3 linked regions of the Drosophila melanogaster genome follow. The protein of the gene in region 1 interacts with the protein of each later gene in a pairwise test. Each region holds a gene or a part of one and is shown on either strand. Other genes may lie near its edges. The genes, in order: CG9628, CNT2 and mew.

Evidence for each region.
Region 2: the proteins of CG9628 (region 1) and CNT2 interact in a two-hybrid assay, tested with the Drosophila melanogaster proteins (one large-scale study listed by BioGRID).
Region 3: the proteins of CG9628 (region 1) and mew interact in a two-hybrid assay, tested with the Drosophila melanogaster proteins (one large-scale study listed by BioGRID).

Annotation. Positions count from the first base shown.
Region 1 is NT_037436.4:14,616,342-14,628,674, forward strand, and holds CG9628 (uncharacterized protein), read left to right. Parts: upstream 1-6,454; 5' UTR 6,455-6,566; exon of another isoform or gene 6,567-6,692; intron 6,693-10,499; 5' UTR 10,500-10,531; coding exon 10,532-10,553; intron 10,554-10,678; coding exon 10,679-10,785; intron 10,786-10,993; coding exon 10,994-11,154; intron 11,155-11,214; coding exon 11,215-11,452; 3' UTR 11,453-11,833; downstream 11,834-12,333. Other genes in the region: shd (shade), read left to right, coding at 3,104-3,386, 3,577-4,171, 4,237-4,414, 4,472-4,711, 4,840-5,055, 5,132-5,242; RecQ5 helicase, read right to left, coding at 11,960-12,063, 12,122-12,333.
Region 2 is NT_033778.4:9,073,737-9,084,382, forward strand, and holds CNT2 (concentrative nucleoside transporter 2), read left to right. Parts: upstream 1-4,984; 5' UTR 4,985-5,175; exon of another isoform or gene 5,176-5,205; intron 5,206-6,379; coding exon 6,380-6,433; intron 6,434-6,491; coding exon 6,492-6,687; intron 6,688-6,740; coding exon 6,741-6,942; intron 6,943-7,004; coding exon 7,005-7,769; intron 7,770-7,833; coding exon 7,834-8,161; intron 8,162-8,228; coding exon 8,229-8,409; intron 8,410-8,470; coding exon 8,471-8,556; 3' UTR 8,557-8,638; downstream 8,639-10,646. Other genes in the region: ana (anachronism), read left to right, coding at 335-723, 1,104-1,352, 2,137-2,209, 2,634-3,060; CNT1 (concentrative nucleoside transporter 1), read left to right, coding at 8,738-8,882, 8,934-9,249, 9,476-10,240, 10,297-10,624.
Region 3 is NC_004354.4:13,249,585-13,258,928, forward strand, and holds the start of mew (multiple edematous wings), read right to left. Parts: upstream 7,600-9,344; 5' UTR 7,248-7,599; coding exon 7,033-7,247; intron 1-7,032. Other genes in the region: CG15742 (uncharacterized protein), read right to left, coding at 8,040-8,651. UniProt on the Drosophila melanogaster protein: Integrin alpha-PS1/beta-PS is a receptor for laminin.

The sequences.
Region 1 (12,333 bases):
TTTTCGTCAGAATTTACATACTTCTATATATGTCGATTGATTCTTTATTCGTTATTTATTCGTGGCTATTTTTATTGGCACATTTTTCACATTTATGCAAATCGCTCGGAATCAAGAACCCGCCGAAAAATGGCCCAAAGCTTGGACCGCTGCGCAGTTACAGAAGACCCGAGCTCAGCTCAAACGGCTCGCTATCCGCAGAGCCAGACATCAGCAGATTATGTCACTTGTGCCACTCACATTCGTATGGCCATATAGCTATATACACATATATAGAGTGCACACGACCAGATATCGGCCGGGGCTTCATGGTCACGGCCACCACCGACAAACGGGAAACATGGCTTAACAATTTCTTTCCTCGGTCAGCTGTTTCCTACCTCCTTCATTGGCCGAAAAAACTCGTGGCTACAAGAACATGCAAAAATGTATTTTTATATTTTAAGTAAAATAATCTTTAAATATATATCAAAATAATGTTAATTTCGATATGCTTATTCCCAAATAAACTATGCTCATGTATTTCTTTACTACAAAAAAATAAAATGGTTTTGAAATTTTTGATTATTATTTTTGGAAATTATTTTCTGTGTATCCATTATCTCGACTTTGGCTTTAGGCAAGTTCAACGTACGGAAGACGACGTGCAAACGGCGAGCGACAAAGTAAGCCTTGCAAATAGAAATAGAGAAATTTTCTCATTAGATTTTTGCCGTTTTGCCACTTTGCAGAGATCCTGGTCTAAGCCACTATCGAAACTTGCTTTCCGTCCCAGAACCCGAAGAAAACCGTCTCATGTTAGAAACGCTTTGAAAGCTGGTTTGCCAAAAGAAAAGTGAAAGAATCGCTGTGATATTTTAAAAATGTACCTAACAACTAAAGCCAAATATTCAAACCAAAATAAAAGAATATAAAAATGTATATTGAAGCAGTAAATGTTTCTTATCAATTCTTTATTGAATAAGTAATAAAATCATAATTTTACACATACCAGCAAAGTCATGCATTTCGGAAATACGTAACTTTTAAAGTACTCTTTGTTAAGTATAGATTTCTGGTCCAAAACCTCTCTTCGTACACCTTCCAAAATAAATACTTAAATAACCATTAAGCCGAGTCATTCCCGAACCCATAAACTTCGATTTCTTTTATTACATTTTTGTTGGGGTAAACAAAAATCGTTAATGGCTGTAGAACAAAATAGTCAATAAGAAAGAATCGAAAAAAAAATCGAAATTTTTATTTGCGTCTTAACCCAATTAGTTGAGCTGTAGAAATGACGGCCAGAAATTGTGAAATTCCAAGATCAAAACAGAGCGACGAAGAAAACAAAACCACGAGAAAGAACTTTCCCATCGTTTCTTGTTTTACATAATAATCGGTTACATAATATGCTTTCTACCCACCGCTGGGTGCTTTCTTCTCCTTCTTTTGGCCTGGAGTTGGGAGCTGGTTTCCAAGCCGGTTTTAGCCAGCTGCTTTAGCTCCCTCCCATATATACCTCTTGGCTGCTTCTAACGCAACTCTAACGATGAGAACGAGGTGGAGTTGTGAGTCGTGAGTGGATCCCATCTGCATATTAATCAGAGAGTGAGCCGTAGAATGGGGCCGGTGCAGAGGAGAATTCGCAAGAATTCTTATTAAAAAGCGAGTTTGTGTTTTTGTTGTTCTAAGCACGTTGGAAAAGTGAGAAGCGCATAGAACAGCGCACGCGTCGCGCTGAGAAGCGATCTCATGATGAGATGAGGAAGTGATTAAGCCCCCAAGAAGGAAGTGCTCGCCTCAGATGTCTGTGATTTGTATTTCCAGTTTATTTTCTTCTTTCTGTCCATTTTTTTCTACATTTGCACAGGCCTATTGGCGAATCGCAAATTTGCATTAATGGATAGATTTGCCACACCTCTCCCGCCGAGTATCACGCACATTTCTAAGCGAGTGGCGTCACGTAGATAAAGACATTACTTACCTGGGACCGAAGACTTCTTATCTGGCATTCTGATTCTTTTGCAAATACCATTTTTCGGTAGCCCAAAGTCATAGAGAGGTTTTCTATTCGTACTCCGCATTTATTTGCCAAGCGATCGTGTGGCTGTTCTGTTGTGTGGCTAGGGCAAATATTAGAATCGATCATCTATCCGTGGTTTCTGATTTTGTTTCTTGTATTTAACCGGGTAGTTCATTAATCACTTTGAGCAGGTAGCCCCCTTGAAGTTTTAATCGATTTTCATCTTATTTATATAGTATTTTATATCCGGTTGGCAATAGGAATAGAAAAAAGGTTTCGACGGAATGGTCTTATAAGAACAAGGAAAAAACTCCACCTAAAAAAGACCAATAAGAAAAATAAATCCTCTCCTCTCCACTTAGTGTTCATTGTCTGGCAGACCCTCAAAAGATTATCATCTCGCATTTCTGATATAACTAGCTGAACACTCAACAATTTTATAGGGTAGGTTAGGCATTTGTCTACTTTTGATTTTAAAACAAGATTAATTTCCATTTTAGATTAATTAAATTTTAAATTTTAATTTAACGGCAGAGAAGAAAAAAGACCTTAACGCACTCTATTTTAATGGCTCTTTGTGTGCCTATTTAATCGTGCATAGAATAATTGACTTGGTCTTGCGGAATTTGTTGACTTTATAAACATTTATAATCCCCAATAAACATCACAATTAGAGGCTTTTGCAATCTTTTGAAATTCGCAACACAATCGTTACACATATTTTTTTTTTTGGCTATTAACCTTGAACTTTATCACGCTTGTTGGGACATTATCTTATCTAGTGTGAAAACCCAAAAAGCTTGTTTCTTTTCTGCCAGCCATTTGCCTTGCAGAATAGCCAAAAACCCAAGAACCAAGAACCGAGAACAAAGTGTTATCGCGTGTTGCCAATAATAATGCAAAATCGATGATCAGTTGTTGTGACCAAAAAAGCTGTATAAAGTCAAATACAAATTAGTCGACCGGTTGGCATCGATTCGAAACGAAAGGCCAGACTTCAATTAAAGACCTAGAATTGCTGGCGGGAATTAGCATAAGTGCCTCCAAAGCGGATCAACACAGTAAGACCCAGAATTCTAATTGCAGCGCCCCATGGTAATGGCCGTGATACTGTTGCTGGCCCTGGCACTCGTACTTGGCTGCTACTGCGCTCTCCATCGGCACAAATTGGCGGATATCTACCTCCGGCCGCTCCTGAAGAACACGCTCCTTGAGGACTTCTACCATGCCGAGCTGATCCAGCCCGAGGCGCCAAAGAGGCGGAGGCGCGGCATCTGGGACATACCCGGGCCAAAGAGGATTCCCTTCCTGGGCACTAAGTGGATATTCCTGCTCTTCTTTCGACGGTACAAGATGACCAAGCTGCACGAGGTATATGCGGGTAAGACATTATTTAGTTAAGATAGTTATTAAAATCTCTCCCTTTCAAAGTTCTCTATTAAAAATACGTCTTGAAAATGGGTTTTATTTCTTAGCTCTATAACTTAATATAAATTCTATTATTGTAGTTCTGAGTTAGTAACTCAAGTATTTTAATAATCTATTTCTATTATCTTAAATGTACATTCTAGATTTGAACAGACAATATGGCGACATAGTGCTGGAGGTGATGCCCTCCAATGTGCCAATAGTGCACCTGTACAATCGCGATGATCTGGAGAAGGTGCTGAAGTACCCCAGCAAATACCCATTCCGACCTCCCACTGAGATCATCGTGATGTACCGTCAATCCCGACCGGATCGCTATGCAAGTGTTGGAATTGTGAACGAGCAAGGACCAATGTGGCAGCGCCTACGATCTTCCCTGACCTCCAGCATTACTTCTCCCAGGGTCCTGCAGAATTTCCTGCCAGCCTTGAATGCGGTTTGTGATGATTTTATCGAACTACTGCGAGCCAGGCGGGATCCGGATACACTGGTGGTTCCCAATTTCGAAGAGCTGGCCAATCTGATGGGTCTGGAAGCTGTGTGCACTTTAATGTTGGGCAGAAGGATGGGTTTCCTGGCTATCGATACCAAGCAGCCGCAAAAGATCAGCCAACTGGCAGCTGCTGTTAAACAGCTTTTCATCTCCCAAAGGGACTCGTACTACGGTCTAGGTCTGTGGAAATACTTTCCCACCAAAACGTACAGGGACTTTGCCCGCGCCGAGGACTTGATCTATGAGTAGGTACACAGAAGGTTGGGCTCCCATTTCTATTCCCATCTAACTTAAATCGCTCTCAATCCAGTGTGATCTCCGAGATCATCGATCATGAGCTGGAGGAACTCAAAAAGTCGGCTGCCTGCGAGGATGACGAGGCTGCTGGATTACGAAGTATCTTTCTGAATATTCTGGAGCTCAAGGATCTGGATATCAGGGACAAAAAGTCAGCGATCATAGACTTTATTGCCGCTGGCATAGAAACGGTGGGTGTTTGGTAGTATTTCAAATGGAATTCATGTTAAACAATTTTTAATTTTTAGTTAGCCAACACTTTGTTGTTTGTACTGAGTTCTGTTACTGGAGATCCCGGTGCTATGCCACGAATCCTAAGTGAATTCTGCGAGTATCGGGACACGAATATCCTGCAGGATGCACTAACGAATGCCACATACACAAAGGCCTGTATACAGGAGTCCTACAGACTGAGGCCCACAGCCTTTTGCCTGGCCAGAATCCTGGAGGAGGACATGGAGCTCTCGGGCTACTCGCTTAATGCAGGGGTAAGTTAAAGCTTAGTTTTCGATCACTCTCACTTTTATTTCCAAGCTTTTGGAATTTACTATTTTATATTTTATTTTTGGAAATAAATATTAGTTTCTCCTATCAATAATTTGTTTCCGATCTTTAGACTGTGGTGCTATGTCAGAATATGATAGCCTGCCACAAGGATAGCAACTTCCAAGGGGCCAAGCAGTTTACCCCAGAGCGTTGGATTGATCCTGCCACGGAGAATTTCACGGTGAACGTGGATAATGCCAGTATTGTGGTGCCCTTCGGCGTGGGTCGAAGATCGTGTCCAGGAAAGCGTTTTGTGGAAATGGAGGTGGTGCTGCTGCTAGCTAAGGTGAGTATAATCCATAAGCCCCAGGGATCGTATTTCTAGGATCACTGACTAAAACAACCAAATTTATCTTTATCAGATGGTCCTAGCCTTTGATGTGAGCTTTGTGAAGCCACTGGAAACGGAGTTCGAGTTCCTGCTGGCACCCAAAACTCCACTCAGTCTAAGACTCAGCGATCGGGTTTTCTGATAATGGGTGCTTTAGAAAACTGATCCGAAAAACAGTGCCTACCCTCAGGCGTTTTGTATCAAATACAACTAAAATAGCTAAGAACTGAACCATTAAGTAAAATTAATGTAAAATATGCTTAGGTTTCTACACATATCTGTATACATATATATGTATATCCTTTATCCCTGATGAGCCAGCATCAGCAGCCTAGTCCTGTGAAGCAATCAAAAAAGAGCTAAACCAATTAAAATAAATTAACAAATTTATGCTGACTGGATGTAAAGTAGATTAGAATGTATATACAAACGTCATGTTTTGTTGTAATTACTTCTTAAATTTATTTTTAGTCGTAGCAAATAACTAGCAGCAATTGTTTTTGAGAGTTCTGTAAACGGAAAGACTGTGTTTAAGTTTTGTTTTTCACGATTTTAACAGTTTTACATATTTTCTGTACATAGTTTCGCAAAAATTTGTCACTCTAATTATGTACAGTTTAACTTTAATTGTATTTATTCAAGTGTTTTTACTGCCTTTGTCTTTATTTCATCTCTACATCTGTGAATATATTTGTTAAAAGAAAACAATAATTAAAGAAAATTAATTACATTAAACAGAAATCAAATGATAAATGTTATAATATAAATTATTGAGTTTCATTTAATAGTTATTTTCTGAGACCCATTATAGCACAGGAGGTTAGCTTTCTCGCCTTTTTATTTTAAAAATGCATTTTTCATCATACAATGGTGAGACTTATTTAGACCTATGTTTTATTGTAGTTATTTTTGTTTTCTTTGGCAAATACTAAACACACACTAAATGACCCTAAATATCTTTATTTTTTTTTTTAAATTTGTATGGTACCGATTTTAGGTTTCGGTTGACGTCTTTACTATTATAGCAGGGAAATTTCATAAAAGCTTTCAACAGTCGCTTCCCACTAAGCTGGGCTTTGTTTTTAAAATGTTTTTTTTTAAACCAACGACACAATTTTACTTCAAAATTTAATAGAGCATTTAAGTTTCAAACAAAACTCGAGATTAAATTGTTTGCATACATGGCGTGCATGTGCTAATTTTTAAGCCGCCATAATATGACTTAATATTTGTTCAGCAAGCGTTGACACACGTCTTGGGAATAATTCTCATTGGGAAATATTCTCTTATTTTTGGGCTGTGGCTCAATAGCTCGTTTGGCGGGCTTTGGATTCGGTTTTGGGTTCAGGTTACAACAGTTGTCGTTGGCGTGTCGTCGGTTTCAGAGGTTTTTTGAAAGACGGTTTTTAAAAAACCAATTTCCGCTCTGAGTCGCAGTTTAAACTGAACTACTGAAACTATTTAACGCGCGTGAAAGAATTCATTGATTTATCTGTGTATTTAGTGTGAGATATAACTTAACAGCTAACCCAAATCATTTGGCTGCACTTGTGTACCGCACCTATCTGCAACTCAACGAAAATTTGAAAAATGTAATATAATAACCCAAAAATGAAATTCTGAGTAAAAACTAAAACTAGTTTGTCGTTTGCTCGGCAGTTACTAATGTTTAAACAAGTTGAAAATGCACTAAACAAGAAAACGTAAAATTTGTTCAGCTTCCGTTGAAGTTTTGATTCTCCCCCAAAGATCTTCTCATACGAATGGAGTCTGTGAGATCGGAGGGCCCCACCCAGAGCTAATTGTACAGTAAACAAGCACAGATACAACAATAACTACATCAGCAAGACGATCGCAGTAGTTTGTTGTTATTGTTAGACATGCTAATTTTGCACAATCTACACACAACACTACACTGGCTAACACAAATTAGTTTGTTTAATGTGACTCACTGACAATTTTCTCACCATCAATGCGGCCCCTTCCCTTTGATGCAGCTTTAATTAGGTGACAAATACTGGGGTTTATAAAGCGAAAAAACAGATATCTTACGTTGGCGTAAAAAAACAATTAGGTAGTGCTCAACTAAAGTATACGAATTCTTGGAGCACTTACGAGCAGTTATTAAGTTAATGAGCTTTTTAATTTCTTTACCGTTCTTGAAAACACATTAAATATTTGAACGCTGTTAGTTCAAAATCTGTCAATATGTAAACAATATGGCAAAAACTCTGAACCCAGTTGTTGTTTATATTAGCACTCAATTACACGTTCCCTTTTGCTAACTGAACCCTTTCGATTCAATACCAATATCATTTATGGGCACTGACCTTCAATGACAGGCCCGACACGAAACAATAACAGTGACAGTAACGCCAGTACACTCATGGTAAATCCCGACGAGCCTTGGCCAATTGCTTTGGCATTGAATTTACCAACAACCCCTAAGGGAGTCGCCTAGAAAACTCCCCCAAGCACCAACCACCCTCGTAAGCCCACATCGCAAAATGTTGCATGTTTTAGCCCCAAACCAAATGTTTCCCCATACCAAACGTGGTGTGGGTCTCAATGGGGTCAAAGGCAAGTGCAGTAGCAATAGATATTGTAGGAATATCTAAATAATTTGCAAAAATGCCGCCATGAACATTGCTTTTCAAGTTGTAAGGCTTCAAAATTCCCATTCATAAGATTTATGGCTTGCCATTACTTTTTGTTTACAACAGTATTAAGTAAAGTGATAACAAAAATATTGTCAACAAAACGTAAGGATATTACTCTCTAAAACCATAAAATAAAATAAATACAAAATTTTACATTATAGATTTTTTTTAAACGCTTTCTGATTGATTGAGGACACATCTTAGTTTAATTAAAAAAAAAATAATTGGTTATATGTAAAAGTTAAACGCGAAAATGATTCCTCTTGGTACAATATATACATACCCTCTATGGGTATTGACCGTGTTTGGAAAATGCAGCTGGAAAATCGCGAACTGCCCTTCGCGGGCAGTAAAAACTATGGCGATGACCAAGTACAGTAGGCGCCTTTTGCATATATGTATTTGTGTTTCAGGTGGTTCTGCCCTCTCACTCCCCCATCGTCCGTCCCTGTCGCTCTCGCCTGCAACCAGTTTGCAGTTGTGCATATCAATGCAAGTGATGGGTGAGGGTTAAGACACGCGCGGGGGGCAAAAAAGGGGGCGGTAAGCAAACAAGTTTTGTTGCATTTTTCAATTGCCCAAGACTGCGATTGAAAGCTGAGAAATACAGATAGTACAGATGATGTAGCTCTTTGGATCTCTGGTTGTCCGGAAATGAGAGATATAAACCCAAGTTAAGATGGGAATGGCTTAAACAAATTCTTTGGATAGAATCGAAGAACCAAAACAAAAACGGAGAATCGAGTCATTGACCCAAAACTCAGACCAGTTATAGGGCTGCTTAGTGTGAAACAGTCCCTTTTGAGCCTGAAAGCGAAACGAGGTTAATTCACAGTGCTGGCCACTAAATTATGCCTACCTTTCGAGAGAAAATATCCCCTTTAAAATACGCAGGTGTGGCAGGTAGTCGAACTCTTAGATCCTCTCTTTAAGCCAAATGCTCTTTTTTCTAAAACAAGTTTTCTTAGCCAATACGTTTTGTTTACCTTTTTTTCAGCTTCGTGGCTTGTTGCGTGTGTTTTGTTTGGTTTCTGCTTTTTGGGCTTTCTTCTAAGCGCCGCCAAAGAAAACTTGTTTATTTTTTTTGGTTCAAAGGGGTGCTGCGGGGGGTGTTCGAGTGTGGGCCAAAACGTGAAGCACTCGTTAGCAACAACACGCAAGCAGTTATTCACTGAAATTCCCATCTTGGAGAGCCACATACTCGAAAATTAGTGGGGAGATTTAACGGGTAGAGAATTGGCTTAAAAGAAATCTATTATATATGTTTATATATACAATTCTGTTTTACAATAAAGTGAACAACTAAAGTTTAAAACTTTTTGATATAAACCTAAACTTTTATATATTTGGTTTGATGTGGAGAGTTACTGTTAGTATATGAAATTATCACTTTGGATTCAAATAGATTAATACAAAAAGCTAACTACATTCCACTGCTTTCAATAGTGGTAGTTTTCTTTACCCATTTGCTGTTTACCTTTGCAACCAGAACCTAGACACTAAAATGTTTATTAGCTCCGAGCCCTCGTTTTGTAAATAGGGAGTGTCTTGGGCCCATTTTTATCATTTTCCCTCCATTTTTCTCTACAGCTCTTTCCCATCTCACTCCCTTTCACATTTTCCCCCTCCCCGAACGCAGTGAAAGTTGTGCGTGGCCCTTTTTTAGGGTTTGTGTTGAGTTTCCAGTTTCATTTCGAGTTTGACTTATTTTTTCTGGTTCCCCGCCCCCCCCTCACATTTTAATTGTTGTTTATGGGGTTACGCATCGTGGGGTTAACTAGCACAGTTCCCTACTCTTTGTCCGCCCCTTCACTTTTGCTGAACGTGCCTTTGGCTAATATTGGGATTTTATGCTTTGTTCTTTATGTGATGCAATTAGCTTCAATCAATGGGGGGACCATTGTTGCCCATGAAGTGGAGATCCAATTCCCCACTTTATACACGGCAAAAACGAGTTACCGGTTATGATAACCCAGAAAATCATTTAAGCTGAATTCCAAGTAAATTTCAATAGTATGCAAATATTTGATATTAAAGAATCCAATAATAGAGAACTTCTAAATTATGAGTGGCATTCGTTTAAACTTTTTTTTGGAAAAATTCTCTCTTGATATACAGAAATTGGTTACTTTCCGGTTCGATACACTTATTTTTTAGTGTAGAATCAGAATAAAGAACTATATATCAAAACAGGTGTTGAATTGTGTCCAAAAGAGGTGACAATTGAGCGACAGTAGCTTCATTGTCGGTATGCAATTAATGATTGAAAATAATGGAATTATAGATGACGGTTCACAAGACAGCGATTATAGTTGGATTTATTATTCATACGACTTTTTGATGCAAACTCACGTAGGCTGCTCGCATTCCCAGGTTGAATTTGGTATGCATCTCGGCACCTCGCTGTCGAATATAGCCCCATATGTTCATAGATACATAGATATATACCCCACCCAAAAGTCCCACACACCCAATATATGAGATCATCGCAGAATGTGCCCTTAATCAATTCGGTCTGCAACTGGATGTATTTCATGTGGGAGAGGAAGACCTTCGGCCATCAATTGACACAAATCCACAACAGAACGTAGATTGTTCGGTTTTACTCGTTTGCACGCTCCACTGACCATCCAATAACAAATATCCGATAACCCAGACATGGAGGCCAAAAATGGCCACTAAACCCGACTTTAACTGAACACTAAAAAGCCAAAATTGAAGATTCCGTTTCCTCTGTAGGTCGAAAACGTATCCAAATCAGACTCTGCAAAATGAGCTACTTGCGATCGATAGGTACATATACAATAAGTTTTATTGTCATTCTTTCCTCGCTCCGAGCAAATGTCAAAGTGGCCAAAATACCAATTGATATAGTATAGTGTTCTTTAATTAATTAATTGTTTAATTGCTCGGTGCAGAAATCTCACGCGTCGAAATGTCGCCGGCTGACGATAATTCCTTTGCCACAACTCATGGAAACAAAAAGGCCACCTACACGGTGATATGCATCAAGATTGTGGAACTGGTGAGTTTTTGTTAAATTTAAATACTCCTTTAAATGGAAATCTTTTGAATAACTTTTAAAAATCAGATAAGAAACTAGTTTCATGGTGTCCAATTACATTTTATAAAGATTCAGCATTTTGAGACGGCTTCCCAGTAATGCCTAAATTGTTAAAAAAAATGATTAAAAACACAAATAATTTATGAAAACTATTCGTCGTTTCCCATAGTGCCTGCTTATATGCTGTTTGGGTCTGATCGACGAGCCGGCCACCAATTCTCATCTGCGGGTGTTCATCACTCCCCGAGTGGCTTCCCTTTGCTATGTGACCTTTGGAGCACTGACCATCTACACGGCAATCTATCTGATAATGGCGCTCTTCGGTGATTTGTATGCTTAAAGTTTGATTTAATTAAAATGCTAGTACTGATATATTTAATGTACACATAGGACTCCATGGCGTACGGCTACTTTGTGGAATCTAGTGGCCTTTGTGCTCTTCGTGGCCGTAACCGCCCTGCTTTTCCGGGATTGGTCCACCACCAAGGATCGCAACTACTGGCACCCGAATATGCATCGTTTGGATCTCGTGATGGCTTCCGCCTCGATTGCCTTGGTTACCTCGCTGGTCTTCTTGCTGGACATACTCATCACCCTGCGTTTAGGTGTCCACGGTGATCTAGAATGACATGGTCGATCCCGTGAAGTTTGGCGAGAAAGAGATATACATTCGATTCTCGCCTAGCGTGGACTGTAATATTTATAGCTCCAGCTTAGAAGTAAGAGCCCCGTTCACATACCCGTCTCCCAGCTAATTGTAATCCCACAAGAAAACAAATTGCCATCATCGAATCGAAAATGTACAAAATCGACGTCCGAGGAGGTTTAAAGTTCTTAATCGGCTGCCCTGTTTTGTTTTTTTTATAAGCTTAATACATCGAGCATCACGAATGTTATATCTAATTCAATTAATAAATAAGATTCAACGCAAATAAATTTTGTACGAGCGAATAATATCCCAAATTAATAGTTTTTCTATTAAAACTGTCCAAATAAAAACGTCTTATTTAAATGTATTATTGATAATTAATGCGCTTATTATATACAAAAATAGTAACTAACGAAAAAAAAAGATGATGCAACTTTTAACGAGGCGAAACAATATGTCGTGATAAAATCATTAGGAGATTTTTAGTCACTTGGATTTTATGAAATATTTTTCAATGTCCTGATCGTTGTTTATCATCTGCAGGCCATGAAAAGTTTCCTTTATATAGCACTTTCCAGCATCGCCATCTCCTAGAGATTTATGGTCCATTTTAAAGGTATTAACAGACAGGAAGTATGAATATCTTACCTAAGCTTCCATCACAAATGCGCTGAGTGAGCAATTTTGCCAAAGCTTTGAAAAGCTCTTTGGTGGCTATTTTTCGTTTATAATACGGATTGAGCCACTGCACCACATTTTTGCTGACATCTGTTTTTTGATGGTTTCTGGTTTCTGGTTTTGTATCCTTTTGCAAAACTCTGGAGTCGGATCCTTCCTTCTTCAAGTTCGATAACGATTCC
Region 2 (10,646 bases), on another chromosome or scaffold:
TATAAATTCCCAGCAAATGGAAACGAGCACGTTTTCCTCGCATCCCATCTCCTGTCTTCTTTGTTGAATTGCGAATGTCCGAATGTAACGCTCTAATGTCAATTAAGTGAGTCTTACATAAACACTTGAACTAAATTCTCTGGGCGGCGCAGCTTAGGCATACAAATAGCTGCTAGATGAACCATCAAAAGATGCCAGCTCTTGATATCCCGCACCCAAGATGGGGTGGAATTCTGTATAAAGAAATTATCATCAGAACTTTTCGAACTGTTAGTGAAAGAGTACTCTTTAAAACGTTTATATAAATTTAATTTTATTTCTCAATTTTTTGCAGACTCAACGATATCTTTAAGCGCGTCCAGAAGGCCATCTCAAACGAGCCCAACGGCAGCGCATCCAAGGAGAAGGCCGGCTTTCCCATTTGCAATGCGGAGACAACCAACCCGGAGGACTGGTCCCTGGGCAACAATGTGACGCTCCAGTTTGCCAGCAGTGTTTTCATATCCAATAACGACGACCGTCTGAGCAGCGCCCTTCTCCGCCTCTACAAGACCAATCCTGGCCAGACTCGCGAGCACAATCCCGGCCAGGCTTCGACTCAGCCCATCAGCACTGAGAACCCGGGCAATACGGCTCCAAATTGCGCGGAGCAGCCACCCGTGGGTCCTCAAATCCGTGTCACCGTCTCCATTGTCCACCAGCAGAGGAAGAAACGTAAGTTAGGTAGGAGGAATCCAGAAAGTCAAACTTAGAAAATGCAATTTTTGATCACTCAATAATCCAACTATGCAAATTTTATTATTAACAAAATAATAACAATAGTTATTGCAAAAAAAAATGATTTTTTTATAACACAGCTTGAGCTTTCAAATATTAAAATGCCTATTATTAATTTTTAAAACCTCATTAATTGTCTTGACTTCGCCATAAGGCCATCTCAGCAAAATGTAAATGTTGTACATAACGAGTTATGTAAATTTTAAATGCGGCTTAAACTTGCACTCCCGAACATTTTGCTGACCCAACATAAAATTGTTTTCGATCCATTTTTAAATGGCCTAGAACTGCCGACTGAGAAAACCCAATCTGTTTGCCATCCTCAGAGCGCAAGAAGCGCACCTGCAACACCGCCATGCTGAGCAGCTCCTCCACCGGCTGGGTGGAGATCGACGTGAAGTGCGCCCTCGCCTACTGGGAGCAGCAGCACCGCCAGCAGCTTCGCCAGCAGCAGCCGCTGCAGCCCCAGCTGACCGCCAGCGTGGTGGGCATCCTGATGATCGAGGTGCACGACGATGAGGAGAATCTGCTGAGGCCGGGGCTCTACTTCGCGCCACCCACTTGCGACCAGGCAGGTAAGCGTGTTGTTTGCCATGTTCAACTAACCGCCCGGGAACGGAGTGGAGGTATCTCGTCCTCCCCATCAGTCACTTTATCCATCATCTCTCACTCTCCACATACATACAAATCTCTTATCCCAACCGAATCGGTGGCGACAGGCCCCTTTTGACACCTTTAGCACACGGCAATCAGAATTTATTTACATTCGCGAAAAGGTCATTAGTCAGGCAACTTCGGGGGCCGGCCAGCAGCCAGACGTAAATTGAGCTGGCAAAAAAACGTACTTTCAATGTAATTCCAGACTGCGAATATCGGTAGACGTAACACAAAAATACCTAGTCGTCTGATTCTGCCGTCAGCAGAATCTAAGTGTCAATTTACAATTCATACCCCGCACGTTTTCCATTCGAAATGCTTCCGTCCGTATATTTGAAATCCATTGGATTGGGTTGGGTTGGCTCCAAGTGGAGCGGAAGTAACGAAAGCCCGAATATCTGTTTTGGATTGACTCATGTCTTGAAAGTTATTGCCCTGGATCGGTAAGATACAACATCGCAGAAGCAGATTCAGCTCAAGGTGCTACTAATCAAAATTGCTCATTCGCACCGTTGTGCGCTGCGCTCGGCTTTCTTTGTCGTTCAGTTGTTGTGTTTTTTGCTCCGCTTACTTCTTGCCGTTGGTTTGTTTTTGATGCTTATTGCATGCCCTTCATGTGCGCATTTTTCAATTTGCATTGCATGACCTACGGCATATTGTACTCCGATTTTAATGGTCCCTTTGGAATCACGTTTATTTCAGACATTGCTGTCCCATGGAGCGTTTACCGAACAGAACCGTTTAAGTCTCATCTGGCGAGTTGGACATTGCCAAGGTAAGTGTTGTATTCGAATTCATTTAAATTTGGGTTTCCATTTCAAAGTTTTGCGCCATACACTGCTTGCTCGCGTATCGATCGTTGTACTGCTTGCCAACTGCTTTGTACAAACGATCGCTGCGTAACACTAATAAGTGTGTGACCGTACTTGAACAAGAACCACCGTTTGAAATAAAATTTCCCGCCAATATTCGAACTTCTGTTATACTTTTTAAAAACGAAAAATTTAAGGTATTAAAATTCAATTCATTTCCTTTTTATTTAAAAATCGTTTTGAAAGGTGATCGAAATCTAATCTAGCCAGCAGTATTAAGAATTAGGAGTGTATATTTAAAAAATTTGAAATATATTAATTATAACTATAGTTAAAATGAAATCTCGCCAAGCAAATTATTTGTTAACTATACCATATTTTTTACAGAAAACCAAGGCTAGACATCTTCTTCAACGGTAGCAACTCCATGAAGAACAGCTACAACACCCCCAAGAGCAGAGCGTTTATCGAATCCACCACATCCAACTCACCCACGATCGACAACCAGCTGGACGAGAGCGGCGAGTACGAGAGCCAGCAGCGTGTGCATGCCCCCCTGGTCCACCACCGGCGGCACCACCACAACCACCAGCAACCGGAATCGGAGTCCGAGTCCGCACAACTCGAGGCCGAGATCGAGGCGGAGGAGCTGATGTCCTCGGCGAGCAACAGTGAACAGCAAATGGAGCCGATTTCGAACCACCACCGACATCGGACCGGCCACCATCACCCGCATCACCAGCTGCACCAGCACCATCACCATCATCATCGCCACACCAAGCACCACAGGATTCCAGCCCACAAGCAGGAATAGATGCCACAATCACGCGCCCATCGATTCCCCACTTTCTCTCCCCCGAACTCATGCTGGTCTTAAAATAATGTCTTGTTTTATATTTGTAACTTTAGGGCCAGTTGACTTAATTAGTTTTTAGTTCATCGGTTTGCCAACCGCGTAACCTTATTTAAATTATATTTTAAGTTTCGTTGTAAGCAGTGCCCATTTTCGGTCAAAATTTGATTTTATTTTTAAATCTCCTGTACTCTAGAAGCCTGTGATTTAGATGGGGTTGAAGTCGCACATTTTTGCAACAAAAATTGTCAAAGCCTCAAGAGGAAGGCAAGCCCGGAAAACAATTTATACGAATTTAAGTAATATATTTAGATGCTAAACAAAATTAATCAATGCCTTATCGAAGCATTACAATCCCTAACTTCTGCACAATTCCCTCGAAAACCAGCAAGCCAAGAACGAACCAAATCAAGCATTTTCGATTCTATTGATAAGTGATTAAAGTCCCGCAATATAGTTGTGTTACATCATAAATAAGTCACTAGGTTTAAAGTGCCTTTCTGCTAAATCTCAAAATTCCCCATTGGAACCCATTGACCCTTTGGTTTTAAGATTTTAAGAACCACATGTTCATCCAGTCAAAGCACATTGTATCCCTAATCCTTCATATCCATACCTACTAAGTGCATTTGCAAGTCGATAAATGAAATATAAAGATGAATATGATCTATTAATAAATTTAAATCGCACGAACACGTGTAGAGTTGCGAATCAAATATAAAGCCAGTTGACTACAGACTTTCTTGTATTATACCCCTTTTGGATCAGATTATCACACGAGGGGCTCGACGATAAGATACGATGCTCTTTCCTATTAAATCGCACAGAATTACGATTGGCAACCTCCTTTAACTTTGCACCCTTCGATTGGCCAATCAGTTGTGTCATTCTGCTAATCGCCGACCACCAATAGAAGTCTTTATCAATGGGCGGGTGTACGACTCGGTATCGCGGTAGCCTTCCTCTATCGCAATATAGCTATCAGATTCCTCAAACGTCATCGCTATCGCATTCAATCTGCTGAGGGGTTTATGGCCCTTCTGAAAATTATCTGGCACTAATATCGGCCTAGAACGCATGCCGAGAACATCTCATTGTTAACAGCCAGCTGATAAAACAGGCAACATGTCATCTCAATTGCCTATTTAGCGGTACACTGCCATCGCAAGTGTATTAGGATGCACAGGGAAAAATAAGTATAAAGAACTTAAAAAGATTATCAATCGAACCTACTTGAAAATAGGGCAATTGATCATCATTAACTTAATATTAGACTGATATATCTCAATAAATATTATTTATAATATCTTCAAAGAAATTTTTTTTTATTAAAATAAGAAAAGTATAAGATGATTGAAACCAATGTGGATTCTAATATTATCTGCCTGTTTTCAAATGTTATTAAATTATTATTTTTATTTTATATTATAATTTTTTAATTGATATTAAATTGATCTTTTTCATCAGTGATCCATTTTGCGGCATTGCACTTTAAGTTAAAACTCAATTTGTAAAAATTGAGTTGGTACAATCAAGCTAATATTTATTTAATAATTATTTCACTGTGTAGTTAAACCAAATTAACACCTTACCAATCGGTATCACACAGTATTAGCTGGGTACTCAAGTACCCATTGATTGCTATGATGAAATAAAAAGCCTCATTAAATATTAAAATCGAGAAATTACAAATTTCTTACGAGCTTTAATGTTAATTTGAGGTAAGCTTTGCTCTCAACTTATATTTCTGTAAATCAAAAAGGCCAAATGGTATCAAGACACCATAAATTATTAGATAGAAAAAAGGCAGTGCGAATCCTAAACCTGATACCTTCTTATCAGATACCGTGTAGTAGCGATTGTATTAAAAAGGCCCGTTCGGAGCAAACCGAATTTAGTCTTGCCGCGAGTTTCAACGAGCTACAATGGCAGTTAGCCAACGTTTTTAGTCTGGCTAAACAGATGCATTTATCAGTCATTTGTATTCGGGCAGACAATAACGACGTTAAAAACCCGTTTCGGCCATAACAAACCTATAGTACTCATCAGATACGAAGCAAAACAAACAGTAAAAAGGTGAATTAACTGTCGTTCCAAAAATTCAAGGTGCGATCATTATATAGACTTAAAATACAAACTGAATACTCGTATAAAAAACGTGTTTTTGAATGTGAACTCTGTATGATTTTAGTCAATTTTGTAGAAAAAACAATAATCGGCAAAAAACACGTGTTCTCGAGGCTGAATATACATATAACCATGTTCTCAGAGCTGGTCTATTAAATATAAGTGCTTTATTAACTTTCACGAGTTTGGCTAAATGCCACTCTGATAGTGCTATCAACTCTGTTTCGATTACCCAGAATGGAAAATCCTAACCGAAAGACCACCTAACGAGGAACTATACTATATTGAATGGGATTTACAGCCCGAATTTATCAGGAATGAGAATTGAAGTGGATTATTTATAGCCTGTGCTGTAGTTTACAGCCCAGTCCCGTTGTTGGCCTCTTAAGTTAATGCCCGGAAATTATTTGAGTGGCCATCCACGTGCTGGAGTTTAGTCATTGACTCTGAAAAACTAAGTGCCCAATTCAAAAATCCTGGCCCATGTGCAAATTTTAAAATTGGAATCCGCGGATCCTATCGCTTGCTTTTGAGTGGCATGAATCGTTCAAATTGCCAAACTTTGATTCAGATAGCTAACACACACCTATCTTGTGCTGTGCGACACTTGGCATATATGCCCACTCGAGTCGAGGGCTAAAATAATTTGAAAGAGATAATGCCAGATTATGATTGCGGCAAATTACTTGTCGCTGGGTATTAATACCACATACTCGTAGTTTTTCTCTAAGTATATTAGTTTCGTTTAGGGTATATAAGATATATATAGAATATATATAGAAAGAATTTGACCCTATAAATAGTATATTCTTCATAAGGATCCGTCAGTTGTCCGTCCGTCCGTCCGCATGAAGTTCGATATAGAACTCTAGGCAACTTTAGGCATGCAAGTTTGTTTTAAGCCGTTGCCACGCCCACCGATATCGCTAAAGTCTGCCCACATGCTTAACGTCTAAATAATGTTGTGATAGGCTTATCAAAAATAGGACTCGTTCAAATTGGACCATTAGAAAGGTATTAAGAGTAAGCTGAAAGCTTATTAACAAAATATAGCAAGTAAATTTGCTGCCAAAGCAACAACTCGCTTTGTTGTACCGGGTATATAATAGTCGATACACTTAACTTAAACGTTCTCTCTTGTTTTTTGTTATAGATGTCAGCCGAATCATCAAAAGGAGCTATTAACAATGGCTACGAACTGGATCATGTAGGTTTTTAATTAAAAAAGCTTTGTAAACCAGATTAAATATTATAAAATGTCATAGAAGGAGTTGGACATCCGTGACTCGGAAGAATTCACGGAACATCCACTGGATGACACCAGCGAGGTGGCAAATAAAAAGGGATATTTTGAAAAGAATCCAAAAGTAGCGCGACTGGTGAGGATCTCGATTTATGTACTGCTGCATCTGTGTGTTGTGGGGTACTTCTCATATGCAACCTACCACTATCACGACATAAGTAAGTATATCGCCAAAATAATTAGCAAGAAGTATACCATTATTTATCTACAGCCAACTATGAGTGCTATTGGAAAGACAACCCATTGTGCGGCATCAACTTCTGCACGGGCTATGGAATGCTCCTGCTCCTCCTGGGATTCATCTATTTGGGTCTATTCTACTACTATGTCTTTAAGCCGATGGTGGGGCACAGCCTGCACAGGAACTATATCAAACCATTTTCAAAGAAATGGCACAACTTCAGCAGAACCAGGTAAACTATTATGAAGAAAATATATGTTTAAATCTTCTAACTACTCCTCTTCGTTTTCCCAGAGTTGTGTCATTGGCCAGCATCGCATTGCTCCTGGCCCTTTTGGCCATCTTTGTGTACTTCGAGTGCCGGGACGAGACCCAAAAACTGGTGTCCCTGGTGGCACCCTGCTTCTTCATCCTGTGCGGCTACGTTTTCTCCACGAATCGAAGAGCCATTAATTGGCGCATAGTCATCACGGGAATCACGTGCCAGTTTCTGCTCGGCATTTTCTGCATCCGCTGGGAGGTGGGACGAAAAATCTTCGAGTGCTTGGGCAACAAGGTGGCCACGTTTCTGGGCTATGCCACCGATGGAGCCGAGTTCGTGTTCGGCGACTTCCTGGTGAACAACAATGTGTTCGCCTTCGCCATCCTGCCGGTTATCTTCTTCTTCAGCTTCTTCATCTCCATCCTGTACTACATGGGTACAATGCAGTGGGTGGTGATCAAACTGGGCTGGATCCTGCAGCAGATTCTGGGCACCACTGTTTGCGAAAGCGTGACGGCCGCAGCCAACATCTTCCTTGGCATGTCCGAGAGCCCGCTGCTCATTCGGCCGTATATCAACAAGCTGACCAAGAGCGAAATCCACAGCATCATGGTGTCCGGATTTGCGACCGTGTCCGGAACCGTGTTGGCGGCCTACTTGTCATTCGGTGCATCGGCCGCGCACTTGATCACCTCCTCGGTGATGGCAGCTCCCGCTACTCTGGCCATCTCTAAGCTTTACATGCCCGAAACGGAGGAGAGCCAGACCTCATCCGATTCAATTGAACTGGAAAAATCGTACGTATTTCTAAGGCGCCTAGTTTAACCCAAATGTCTAACTAGTTCACTGTCATCCTTGTAGACAGGACTCTTCGCTGCTGGACGCAGCGTCCAGTGGTGCCAGCAACGCCGTGCCCATTGTTCTGGGCATTATCGCTAACATAGTCGCCTTCGTCGCCTTCATCGCCTTCCTAAATGGTCTGGTCAGTTGGTTTGGTTACCTGGTGGGTCTCGAGCAAATCGACTTCGAGTGGATATTCTCTAAGCTGTTCATCCCGCTGGTCTGGGCCATGGGGGTGCCAAAAGAGGATTGCGATATCATCGCCAAGGTGGTGGCCACCAAAACCATTATCAATGAGTTTGTGGCCTATGAGCGTCTGGGTCAATACATCGAAAATAATGATATCACTGTAAGTTGTAGATGGTGTGAAACCCATAGCTCATCTGGAAACTAACGTTTGAGGTCGATTTTTGTAGGCCCGCAGCGCTGGAATCGCCACATTCGCCATCTGCGGCTTTGCCAATCCCAGTTCCCTGGGCATCCTTATCGGATCCCTCAGTGCTATGGCACCACATCGTCGCTCCACCATTACAGCAGTGGCTTTCCGAGCGTTTGTGGTGGGCAGCATAGTCTGTTTCGTATCCGCCAGCTTTGCAGGTCAGTCGATAAACGATCATAAATATTTCTTATTATTTTAACTAGTTTTACTTTATTATAGGCATCCTTATACAAGAAGATGACGAGCGGGCGAACTACAACAGGATATTCGAGAAGTTGGGTCGAAAGAATGTTACTCAGTTTTAGTTCCTTAAAGTTGTAGTTCGTGATAATTAGCTGATCAAATTTAGCAAAATACAATTCTTATTTATTAAAGATGTTTAGGATTATTTTTACCTATTTGTTTACTAAGGGGCTGTGGGATATAAGTCATAAGATCCACACAACACTTCTTTACACTACACACTGTTTCTCATTTATACACACAATGGCAGAACCAATAGAAGGCGAACAGGAGGAAAAGCCTCCGCCATCGAGGGCAAAGCGAATCACCTATCTGGTACTCCATGTGCTGCTCCATATCATATTCATATCTTACTTTACGGCAGCCACAATCATTTTCATCTTTTACGGTAAGTTACCCCTTTGAGTTCGAATGTAAATGTTTATGAGGAAAAACCCAGACAAGGATTCCAAAGAATGCTGGCCCAATAGGGGCTCGGAAGCCACAACCGAATCGATAGATAACTCAACCGAAGATGATGATGATGATGATTATGACACAGAAGAAACTTCTGAGAAGCCAGTGCCAGAGGTTAAGCCAAAACTATTGTGCCAAATTAACTGGTGTCATGGATACGGGTTTCTCATCGTCTTGTTCATCTTGTTTTATATCCTATGGCTGTACTACTGGGTATTTAAGCCATTCGTGGGCATCAAGCTGTATAATAACTACCTGGAACCAGTGATTGACAAATGGATTGCGTTTAGTCGCCAGTGGTGAGTACAAGATCCTTTGAGATGATCTCCCTTCAGACTTGAACAGCAGTACCATAAGTCAAAAAATTGTAGATGTTCAGGACCTGTAAAGATTATCCATTCGAATACAATATATATATATTGGTTAAGAACTTTAGCTCCTGTCCACAATGTATTTGAGGCTCCAAAAGATTCTTCTAAAAAGCTAAATGCTTTAATCCTTATTTTCCATTTTCTCCAATTCTAGGATAGTGTCCGGCGTAATGCTGGCGATTGTGCTCGCTGTGGTGGTGGCATACCTCGGATTCGAGTGCCGCAATGACGCATACAAGGCCATCGGACTGCTCGGACCTGTGTGCTTTGTCCTTATCGGATTCGCCGTGTCCAAGCACCACTTGCAAGTACCTTGGCGCATAGTGACCCACGGTCTCCTGGGACAGCTGCTGCTGGGCATACTCTGCCTGCGCCTCCCCTTTGGCCGGTCCATCTTTCAATGCCTTGGGGACAAGGTGACGATATTTCTGAACTACGCACAGCACGGAGCACGCTTTGTGTACGGGGATCGCATTTGCGATGAGTACGTCTTTGCATTTGCCATACTGGCGGTGGTGTTCTTCTTCAGCGTGATCACCAGCATTATGTATTACCTTGGCTGGATGCAGTTCATCCTGAACGGTTTTGGGTTCCTCTTGCAGGCCATGGTGGGCACCACCGTTTGCGAAAGTGTAAATGCAGCGGGCAACGTGTTTCTAAGCATGACCGAGAGCCCTCTGGTCATCCGGCCGTACATCGAAATACTGACCGTCAGCGAGTTGCACGCTATATGCACCTCCGGCTACGCGACAGTGGCCGGTACTGTCTTGGGGGCTTATGTGTCCTTCGGTGCTTCCGCCAGCTTTCTTATCGCAGCCAGCGTAATGGCTGCTCCGGGTTCACTGGCTTTCGCCAAACTGTTCTACCCCGAGACCGAGGAATCTCTGACCAGGTCCGACAACATTAAGCTGGAAAGCTCGTAAGTTCCTCTTCATAAGAGTCAACATTTGATAATCGCCCAGACACCTTGCCAAGGACGGATACGTCTATTTTGGATGCGGCCGCCTCGGGAGCTGCAGCAGCCTTGTTGATTGTGCTCGGAATCGTCTCGAATATCATCGCCTTCCTAGCCATTGTGTTCTTCCTAGACGCTGTAACGGAGTGGATTTTCGAGCTAATTGGACTGCATAACATCACCCTACTCTACATTCTCTCCCAGATCTTTATCCCGATTGTCTTCGTGATGGGCGTGCCGTGGCACGATTGTCAAGCAATTGGCCTGGTGGTGGCCCAAAAGTCGTTCATAAACGAGTTTGTGGCTTATAGAAACCTGGGCATATTGGTTAGCGATAAAAAGGTTGATGTGAGTACCCATCTGCATATTC
Region 3 (9,344 bases), on another chromosome or scaffold:
CTATTAGTCTGGGTGTTGCGCTCTAAAGTTGCAGCTGGGTTTTACAGCAACGAACTAAAAAAAAAAAAAAAAAACTGAAACCGAACTCGCGCAGTCGATGTCTCGAAGTCGAAGTCAAAATTCGTCAAGCAAACATGGCACCAAAAAACGCCCACGTGCCATAGCTTTTCGAAGGCGGGTGGGCGTGGCAAGTCGAGTTGCGGCAGGATTTGCATTCGCAGAGTTGCTGCAGCACAAAATGCCAAAAAAAAAATATGAAACTAGTGTATGAAAATTTAGAAAAAAATCTATATTATGCAGTGCGAATGCTAAGATTTATGAAACAATTATGAAAAATTCAAAATATTACTATAAAATACCATTTTTAAACTTGATGCCTTTTCGCTCTCTGTAACAGAAAAAGGGGGAGGGGGGTGTGTTACGGGTGGAGACAAACAAAGACTTCCCAAAAGTGGGCGACAGTGGGCGTGGCAAGCGTTTGTTGAACTTTTCAATGTGAAGAAAACTCGAAAGCAAAGAGCAGGAAAATCTTCAACCGAACAAATCTAATCAATCCTCAGCCCATGTGCAAGTATATGTCGGTATTTCAATATGTGTGTGGGCAGCCCCGCCCCCTGCCGACCACCGCCCCTTTTTTTTCAGCTGATGAACTGCCAACATCTGTGGCAGGCAGCCGCAAACTAAGTAAAACAAAATAAATAATCATAATAAATAAACGAGCCACGAAAATCTCGCAGCAGCATGTGAAAAAGAACCCGGTGAAGAGATGAAGATGCATATCGGGAAAATGAGGAAAATCCAAGTGAAAATAAGGGCCGAGCGAAGCGGCGAAAGGTGGCAGGGAATGTGAAAAACTCCGCGGCACAGTTGCAACCAAATTGCGCGAAGCCAAACGCCTCGTCTCGAAATGCCAAGAGCAAACAGCTAGCAATCAAGGCAGGAAAATGCCTGGTCCAAAAGAAAAGAGAGAAATAATTCAGGAGAAGAAAAAGTCCATTAAAATCTAAGAAAAATGTGAAAAGACGCAAAGAACTCGAAAAGTCTATGGAAAAGACATCAAATAATTTAGAACGGTACAAATAATCGATTCTTTGTGTCAAATCTGATGCATAAATATAATTATTTCAGAAAAATAGCAATCTTCTTTTTGTAAGAAAATGATCATATAATATCAGATTCAAGAAAAATCTCAATTAAGCAACATCAACAAATTAATAACATTTAGCCGCAAATGTTAACCACTTTGAGTGGCTCAAACGTTTAAGCTGATCAAATAATGCCAAGGGTGACCCCGTTTGCAGCGAAAGAAGGTTGCCGCTCTCGTGTAGAGTTGCCATAACACCAAAAGTGATCAATTTCATTTGGGGTTTTCTCTCCTACTCAACGTTCTTAGATGCTAACTAACCCAAAGGCTCGATACGATCTTCATTTGGTTCACCCCGAATGGCCCAAAATGTTTAACAAACTGCCAGCCAAAATCGTTACAACCAAATACCCCAAAAAAAAAAAAAAAAAATACCGTGAAAGAAACAGAAAAAAATCGGAGAAAAATAAAACCGATCTCTCAGCACGCAAAGACCCCCCGAAAAAACCAGCAAAACCGTAAAAAAAAAAACATACGAAAAAAAAAAAGCAACTGGAGTTGGGAAAAAGAAACCGAACGGCGTCAGTTTTCATTAGAAACAAGCAACAGCTAGCAACACGATCGCAGATCCGCCAAGAGAAGAAGCGGGCAGAAGCCACTTGGACCGGATTGAGGTGGACGGGAAGGTTAACAGGGGCGTAGTGCCGCAGAGGAGCTCTATGTGGCGGAGATGGAGAGCGATTCCAACAAAGTCTCAGCTTACTGCCAATGCACTGGAGAAAAAGATCAAGCAAGGGGATTGTGATTGGTTTCAAACTCAACCTTTGGGTCTTGAATACTCAATTGCCAATCCAACAAATATGCAAATCAAATGCAAGTAACACATATGCAAATATTCTCACTACTAGAGCATTTTCTTCAGTGTAGTTTGTTGACTGGGGCAGGTACGGTTATTGGCAATGGTTCGATCCATCTGCGGCTTTGTCTGGCCTGTTTTGCCGTGTTATGTCTTTCCCTCTCTCTGTCTCTCTTTCTCTATCTCCTTTTCTCTTCTCCCCCAGTGGTAACGAGTTTCATTCGCACAATTCTCGCGGTGCAAACAGAAAGCAGCGAGGGATCCGTGGCCAAATAAAAGGGGTAACCACGGTATTTGCTCCATAAATCTCACCCATGTGACTGCGATACCAATGGGGTTAGTGCCATGCGATGATCGGGCATTGGGATCTGATCTCGGATCTGCGGTTCCCACCTCGTCTCGGTCGAGGTCTGGCTTTCGCATACTCTAGTTAGTTATATGCAAACACTTAAATTGACAACCCAGTTATCTAATTGAACTCATCTCGAGCATTCCAATGATCCAGATAATATTGGATCTTATGTTCTTTACTCTTCTAACATAATATATGTATATGCATATATATAATATACATACATATATATGGTATAATACTTCTCTTCTGAAGATGCTTCCTGGGAACTGAAGAAGTGTTCTTCTTAAAGCCTGCATTTGTGTAGTACCCAACATTTGTCGCTCCTTTTTTTTTTTTTGTTTTGTCGCTTGGATTTCGCTGATCCTCTGCCGAAGCCCACTGATCTTTGGCCCATCCTCCGTCATTAAGAGATTGCGGTTGCCCAGCCCAGTGGGCAATTTGTCGGAGTTTCGAGCGGTGGCAGAGTGGAAGCGGTTGCCACATTTTCGGAGCTTATTGATTTATCGTTCGCTTAGGGACGCGATTCTTCGGAGGTCGCTAGCATCTTCAGTGCCCAGTTCTTCTAGTGGGCCGATTCTTCTCTTCACTTTAAAGAGCCCGAGGCGTGGGCTCTTTGATTTCTATGCGCAAAATCATCGTGAGCGTTTTTCTGATTTTTTTTTTTTTTCGTTTTTGCAACTTCGTGTTTAACCCACGCGGCCATGGGATTTTGTTTTTTATTTTTTTCCTCTTTGATTTTGATTCGGATTTGGGATTTCGAGTGGGGCCAGAAAGCGGCGGCTCTCCGCCCCAAATCTTCGCAGCTCTTCAGCGCGATTCTGCTGTGCGACTGCCATCCAATTGGCAATAAATCAAAGCCCACGCGCTTTTTTTTGCGCAGCTCCATGGAGTTGAGGCTGTGGCAACACTTTCGGAGCCTGGGGTCTCATTAGTTGCTGGCAGAAATTATGTTGCAAGTCTCTCGGAGTATCTGAATATCTGCGCCGTCTTGTATCTCGCCACTCGACAGCTGGCGGCTGCCCAGGCAAAATCGCAATCCCATTCGCAATCCCAGTTGCCAGATCGGTTTTCCGATGCGAATCCGAATAGGCCAGCCTCTTGTTTCCCACACCAAAATAGGCAATTTTTTATTTTGTTATTTTCTTATTTTCGTGTGCAGCATTAGGCTGTTCCTCTATTTTCTATAAATACGCATGCCAACTATGCCGCCTTCTGCTCCCCGGAAAATCAATTGAATTTTCACGCATGTTTATGGCCCGCTCAACGTTCCATTGAGCAGGCGGCTTCACTTCCACAGTGGGCACTCAGTATGACAAAAGTTTACAGATAGATAGATAAATATCTAAGCAATTTTCCTTAAGTGCTCTTAATGCTTCTTATATCACACATGCTGTATATTAAAACTAGGATCTTAAAACAATTTTGTCTTACTGTAAGTGTTCACTGTTGGCAAAAATGAACAAGTGAACTTTTCTCATGGATCTTGGCTGCCAGAAGTCGCACCCCCATCTCTTCCTTTTTTTTTTTTTTTTGCTTCGGCCGCCTTAGAAAAGTCGAAAAGTCCGCACTTAATGCCCAAAGATCCCTACAGAGAATCTATATGAACACCAGCGGTCATAAAAATAGTAAGCAGCTGATCGAAATTAAAGTAAAATCATTCATTTTTTCAAATACATTTCTAGCTTACATTTGTAGTTTAAATTATTTTAAAAATAATATTTCAAATAACTTTCTTGGCATGTAATACATTATTTGTAGTTTACATATATTAAATAATATTTAACTAAATTCCATGCATTTTTGTGACCTTCACTGTGGGTGCCAGTGCGCATATTTATGGCATACACACATGTCTGCCAGCTTACATTGCCTTAGCAAGTGTTTTTTGGCCATTTCCTTGTCGCTTTTCGTTTTCGCGTTTTTGGCTTCATTTGCTTACGAGTGGAAAAAATAGGAAAATGGTGGAAAAGGGGGTGCTGGGTGCGCGGGTAGATGAGAAATGGACTTTTGGGTTGGGTTCCCATATTTTTCTTATTATTTTATTTATTTTTTTTTTGTGTTGCTGGGCCTGGGTTAACTATTCAACTATTTGGCGGGAGACACACGCACCAGCAGCGAGTAAAAGAGCAACAACAATAACCATAAACTGTCGACCAGCCCCCAGTGGATAGCCCACCCCATTGAGCACCCAACCACCCAACCAACCAACCACCACCATTCCCCCCAACCTTTCCTTTCTTGCGACTGTTTGGCGTCTGTTGACCTCATTTCGCCGAAAAGTTTTTTAAGTTCTTTCTTAGTTTTTGTTCTCTTCTATATTTTTTGGCGCAAACAAGGAACACATGTTGTCGGCATAAACACAACCAGTGAGCTGTTCGCGATGCAGAAGAAGTATCCCACATGAGATACAACATCTACGAGATACACCGAATCTCAGAGATTTATTTACATGCAAGCGAGTTAAAATCGTGCTAGCATTTTCATACCATTTTCAATCTGCAATATATTGAGTATTCAGCGCAATGAAATTGTAGTTCATTAACAAAGCCAATCATTATTTAATGCCGATTGATTGAAGGTGCTAATTAAAAAAAGTCGCCTACATATATACACATTTTTTATGGCGCTGTAAATGCCACGGCAAGGGTACGAAAACAATTGTATAGCTTAATCGACCATCCTCAGCGGCTTATCTCAATTTGTACCATATCATCAAAGGTAATAATTGCGCCACGTAACCGCTGGTATATATGGCTGGTACAAAAAAAAAATTAAGATGGGCCAGCGATAAGCGAGTCACATTATTTGCATACGTACCTTTTTTTTCATTAATAAAACAAATATGCGACAATCGCAAAGTGCAAACAAAACTGAAAAACAAAAGGCGCGCAATAAACGAGCTGGAAATTCAAGTTAACTGTGCAATTCACTGCAGTTATCGGACTAGCCTTCGATGCGAAAAAAAACAGCAATTTCCGTTTGGATTACAGCTTCTTCCGATTTCAAGTGCGTCATTTAAAGACGCGATGCAGATTTAAGAAACAGCGTGGGTCACCACTTCTTGCCAAACGGGGTCACCACCATATAATATCACCATTACATTGAAGTTAAAGCTCAAAGTTTATCATGCATCTCATTTGCAAATTTATTTTTATTATTTTTTTTTTTTTGAAGGTCTATTGATTTTCAGTTGGACTTTCAATACGTGACATTTCGTTACTTAACCCAAATGACTCAGGCTGGTACACTTAGACTCGTCGGCCGATAAATGATATATATAAACATATATATGATAAGTATAATAATAATATCCCTTTCCCTTATTCGGGTGACCGAAGGAGAGGGCACTACTTGGCAAGAGAGAGAGAAGGGGAACATGACTTTTTCACGCCTACGTAGGCATTACGCACCGAGTGATAGCGATGGGGCATGCCGCGAATGGCACAATTTCTTTTTTTTTACCACAATACATGGTTAAGAAACCACACCATGTGGCGGGAATAACTCGATTGCCAGTTCAGTTGTATTAAATGTATTAAAATGTTAGCAACTCAGTTTTTTTCGCTGCAAATTGGCGCATCCAAGTCGCAGCTTGTATTGATTCCAGATTTGTTGTCTGCCCATTTTTATGGCCACTGGCCGTCTGGCTCCGTTTTGTCTACCGAGTTTGGTTTGGCCAATGTATCTATCTATCTATCTATCTATGTATTGCTTGTATTGTATATAGAGAATGCGAAAAGGAGTTGGCCAACTTATAAAGTCGCCAATACGAGACATTTAATGAGCACCAAGCCCTCGCCAAAAAGAATCTATGACAAATGCAAATAAATCCACATCCGCTTCAGTCGCAATAGTTCAAGGGTTTAACCCATGTCGGGGGAAACATTAAAACAATTCGTCTGTTCTTCGACCAACTATGCTTATCAGTTGCACAAAAATAAACAATCAAAACCATAAAATATCAAACAGGCAAATTCTCAGATAGTAAGGATGACAAATCGTTTAAACTGTTGAAATTCTTCAAATAGCAATTCGAAAAAAAAAAAAGAGAAACAAACAAATATAATATTTAACACTTATCTGCTGTCATTGCATTTGGCATATGCATTCAGTTTATTATGGTTTGTTTCGATTCGAAAAACATCTAAAACCTGGCATCATCTCTGGAAATACTCGATATTCAAACAATTTATGGTAATTCAACAATAAAAACACGATTTCAAACAAGTTTCGCGCATTAGCAAACTTTGATAGCCCCCCCCCCCCCCCTGAACAACAGCAACAAACACAGCGATTGCAATGCAAATTCTTCTTATTATTATTATTATTTTATTATTTGTTGTTGTTGTTGTTATTGTTCGTGTGCTGCTGATTAATAACAATCAATGCCAGTCAATTAAGCTGAAATCGATTTGGCGAATATAAAAACCTGTTTGCGCACCAACAAGATTCTTGGCGCGAATTTCCGATTCGGACACGAATTTGGATTTGGATTCTTCTCTACCTGTTCTTCAGCATTATTGTTTACCTAACATTTTTCTAAAGAAAAAAAACACAGCTGAGACAACAAGACACTTTTCGAATAAATCTTTTGGATGCAAGTTTAAAATTGATTGTTGAAAAATAAAAATATGCCTAAGCGTTTAAATGAACTGCAGATAATGATTCACTTTGGAAGTTCGCATACTTTGGACGCATCTTTCAGATACTTATCTATCCACTTAACTATCCACTTACCAGTTGGTCTTGTTGGGCCCATTGGCCTCGCCAATAGTGTGGGTGGCCACCGAGTAGCCGAAATGCGAATGCGGATGTCCGTACTTCACAATGGGCAATCGCTGTTCTAGGTTGAAATTGTAGCAAGTGAGAACGCATTGCAGGATTATCAGAATACCAAGATTCTGTCTTAGCCGGCAGTTGGGCCGTATGGTGGTAAACGGTAGCTCCAACATCGTTAATTTTATGTTTTTTTTTTTTAATATATATTTTATAAATATTTCGTGCACGTGCACCGAACACGGCAAAGTGATTACTTTTTCCTTTGCACTATTGCAAACAAAACAATGAACCGAAAAAAAACACGCACGCACACACACACACACACACTAAATCCGTTGAGATCTTTGGATCAACAGGTAGTCCACGTATTTTTCACTTTTGCTCGTATATTTCTTCGTTTCAGTCACACAGCAAAAAAAAAAATGATTATTACGTAAAGAATTAGACATTGATAGCGTGCGTTCGAAGCGGCAGATATTTTCTCTTCGCTTCGCCTTCTTCGACGGGCAAACGAAAAATAAAATGCTTCGCACAGAAGAGCTACACTAAGCTACTGAGCTACCATCGAACATGGTTCGAACATGGTTCGAACATACATGTGCGCTGTGCAAGCAGTGGTCAAACATATAGCAAGCAGACGCACAAGCAGTTCCACTACACTAGAGGGCTGGATAACATCATTCTCTTTGTTTGCAATTCGGGCAGCGCGGAGGTAAGTCAAAGTTTGTGTTTTGTTGTTGATATGTTATTTATTAATCTCGACATGCGTTGCACTCGATTAATTTAAAGTTAATATAGAAGTCATACGACATCAGAATCACTATGACAGTAGAACGTCTCAGTCCAGGTAGATGCTATCCAAAGAAATGTATATATATCCAAAAGCAAGGTAAAATATCACAGCAGCATCTTTAGTGACCATATTGATATACAAACAAATTCGACCAAATTCTAATTTGCTGACCTTAGCCGAAACGCCAAGTGCGCATATGGTTGATAACTTGATAACTTTTCGAAATGCGCATGCGGGCATCTATTGCAGGAGGATATGGGAGTGAAATGTCCCGAGCTAAACGGCGCTCCAACTGCTCATTGCGGCCGTTGAGCAAATTCTGCCATATCTGGGCCCGCTTATCCAACTGTTGAGCCTGCACGGCTATCCGTCCATAGGAAACGGGCTCATACGCCAGCTTCAGTTGATCGAGCAGATTGGTGAGCTCTTCAATGGCCTGCTGCAGTTTTCTCATGGCACTGTCATGCATGATGAACGTCTCATCGGCTTTGCTGCCGTATTGACATATATATTTCATCCTGACCCAATTGGACGACGCGATACAATTCTTGCGGCGCAATATTTGCATCTTTAGCATGTCCATAAGTATTTCGGCCAGATCGATGGGTGGCAACTCGGCGGGTATCACCAAGCGGATGGCAAAATAATTGGGCCTACTGTACTTGTCCAGGAAGGTGCTAATCACGCCGTCTTGGGCATTACGCACCGAGCGATAGGGCGGCTTAATGCCGCGAACTGCGCCCAGCAAGCAGTGGTCGATCTTATTGCATCGAACTTTTGACATCGAACCGCGGTTTGTCGTGTAAAAAGCGTGTTAGAAATGTGTTTTATTATACAAGTAAGCTGCAATGGCCGTGTTTGTTATCTAGAAACTTTCTCGGAATGGTAACATACGTGTGTACAGAAAGTTAGCGATTGGCATCGTCACTCACCGTCGTAGTACTGGTAAATTGATTTTGCTTCGTCGAACAGCCCGGCAGAAAAATTTTAAAAAATTATAAAATTTTGCTGTGTAAAAGTAAGAACGAGAACAAAATTTTGTTGTGCTCCCAAAAAAGTAAAAGTACTTAATTATCCGAATCAGGTAGCTACACTTAACTCAATGACTACTGGACGCTTAAATACGTAAACTTTCGTCTCTAAATTTCCTCGCACACTAGATTTGAATTTTCGTTCAGTCGGATATTATCGATAAATCGATTATTGTGGACCACGAATTTTCTGGTATAAATGCGGTAGCAATTTAAGACTTCTCTTACCGGAAAATCTTAAAAAATTAAATGATTACATTTTTTGTTAGTAAAAGCCCGGCGAGAATTTATTAATATTTATACATATACAACTTTTATATTAAAGAGCTCTCGAGCACTCTACCAATTTAAAAAATCAACCGCTTGCTTTATAAATTTAATTATTATTATTAAAAAAAAAAATCATGCAAATACGAGTCGTTAGTTATTAAACTTGGCAAAAGAAA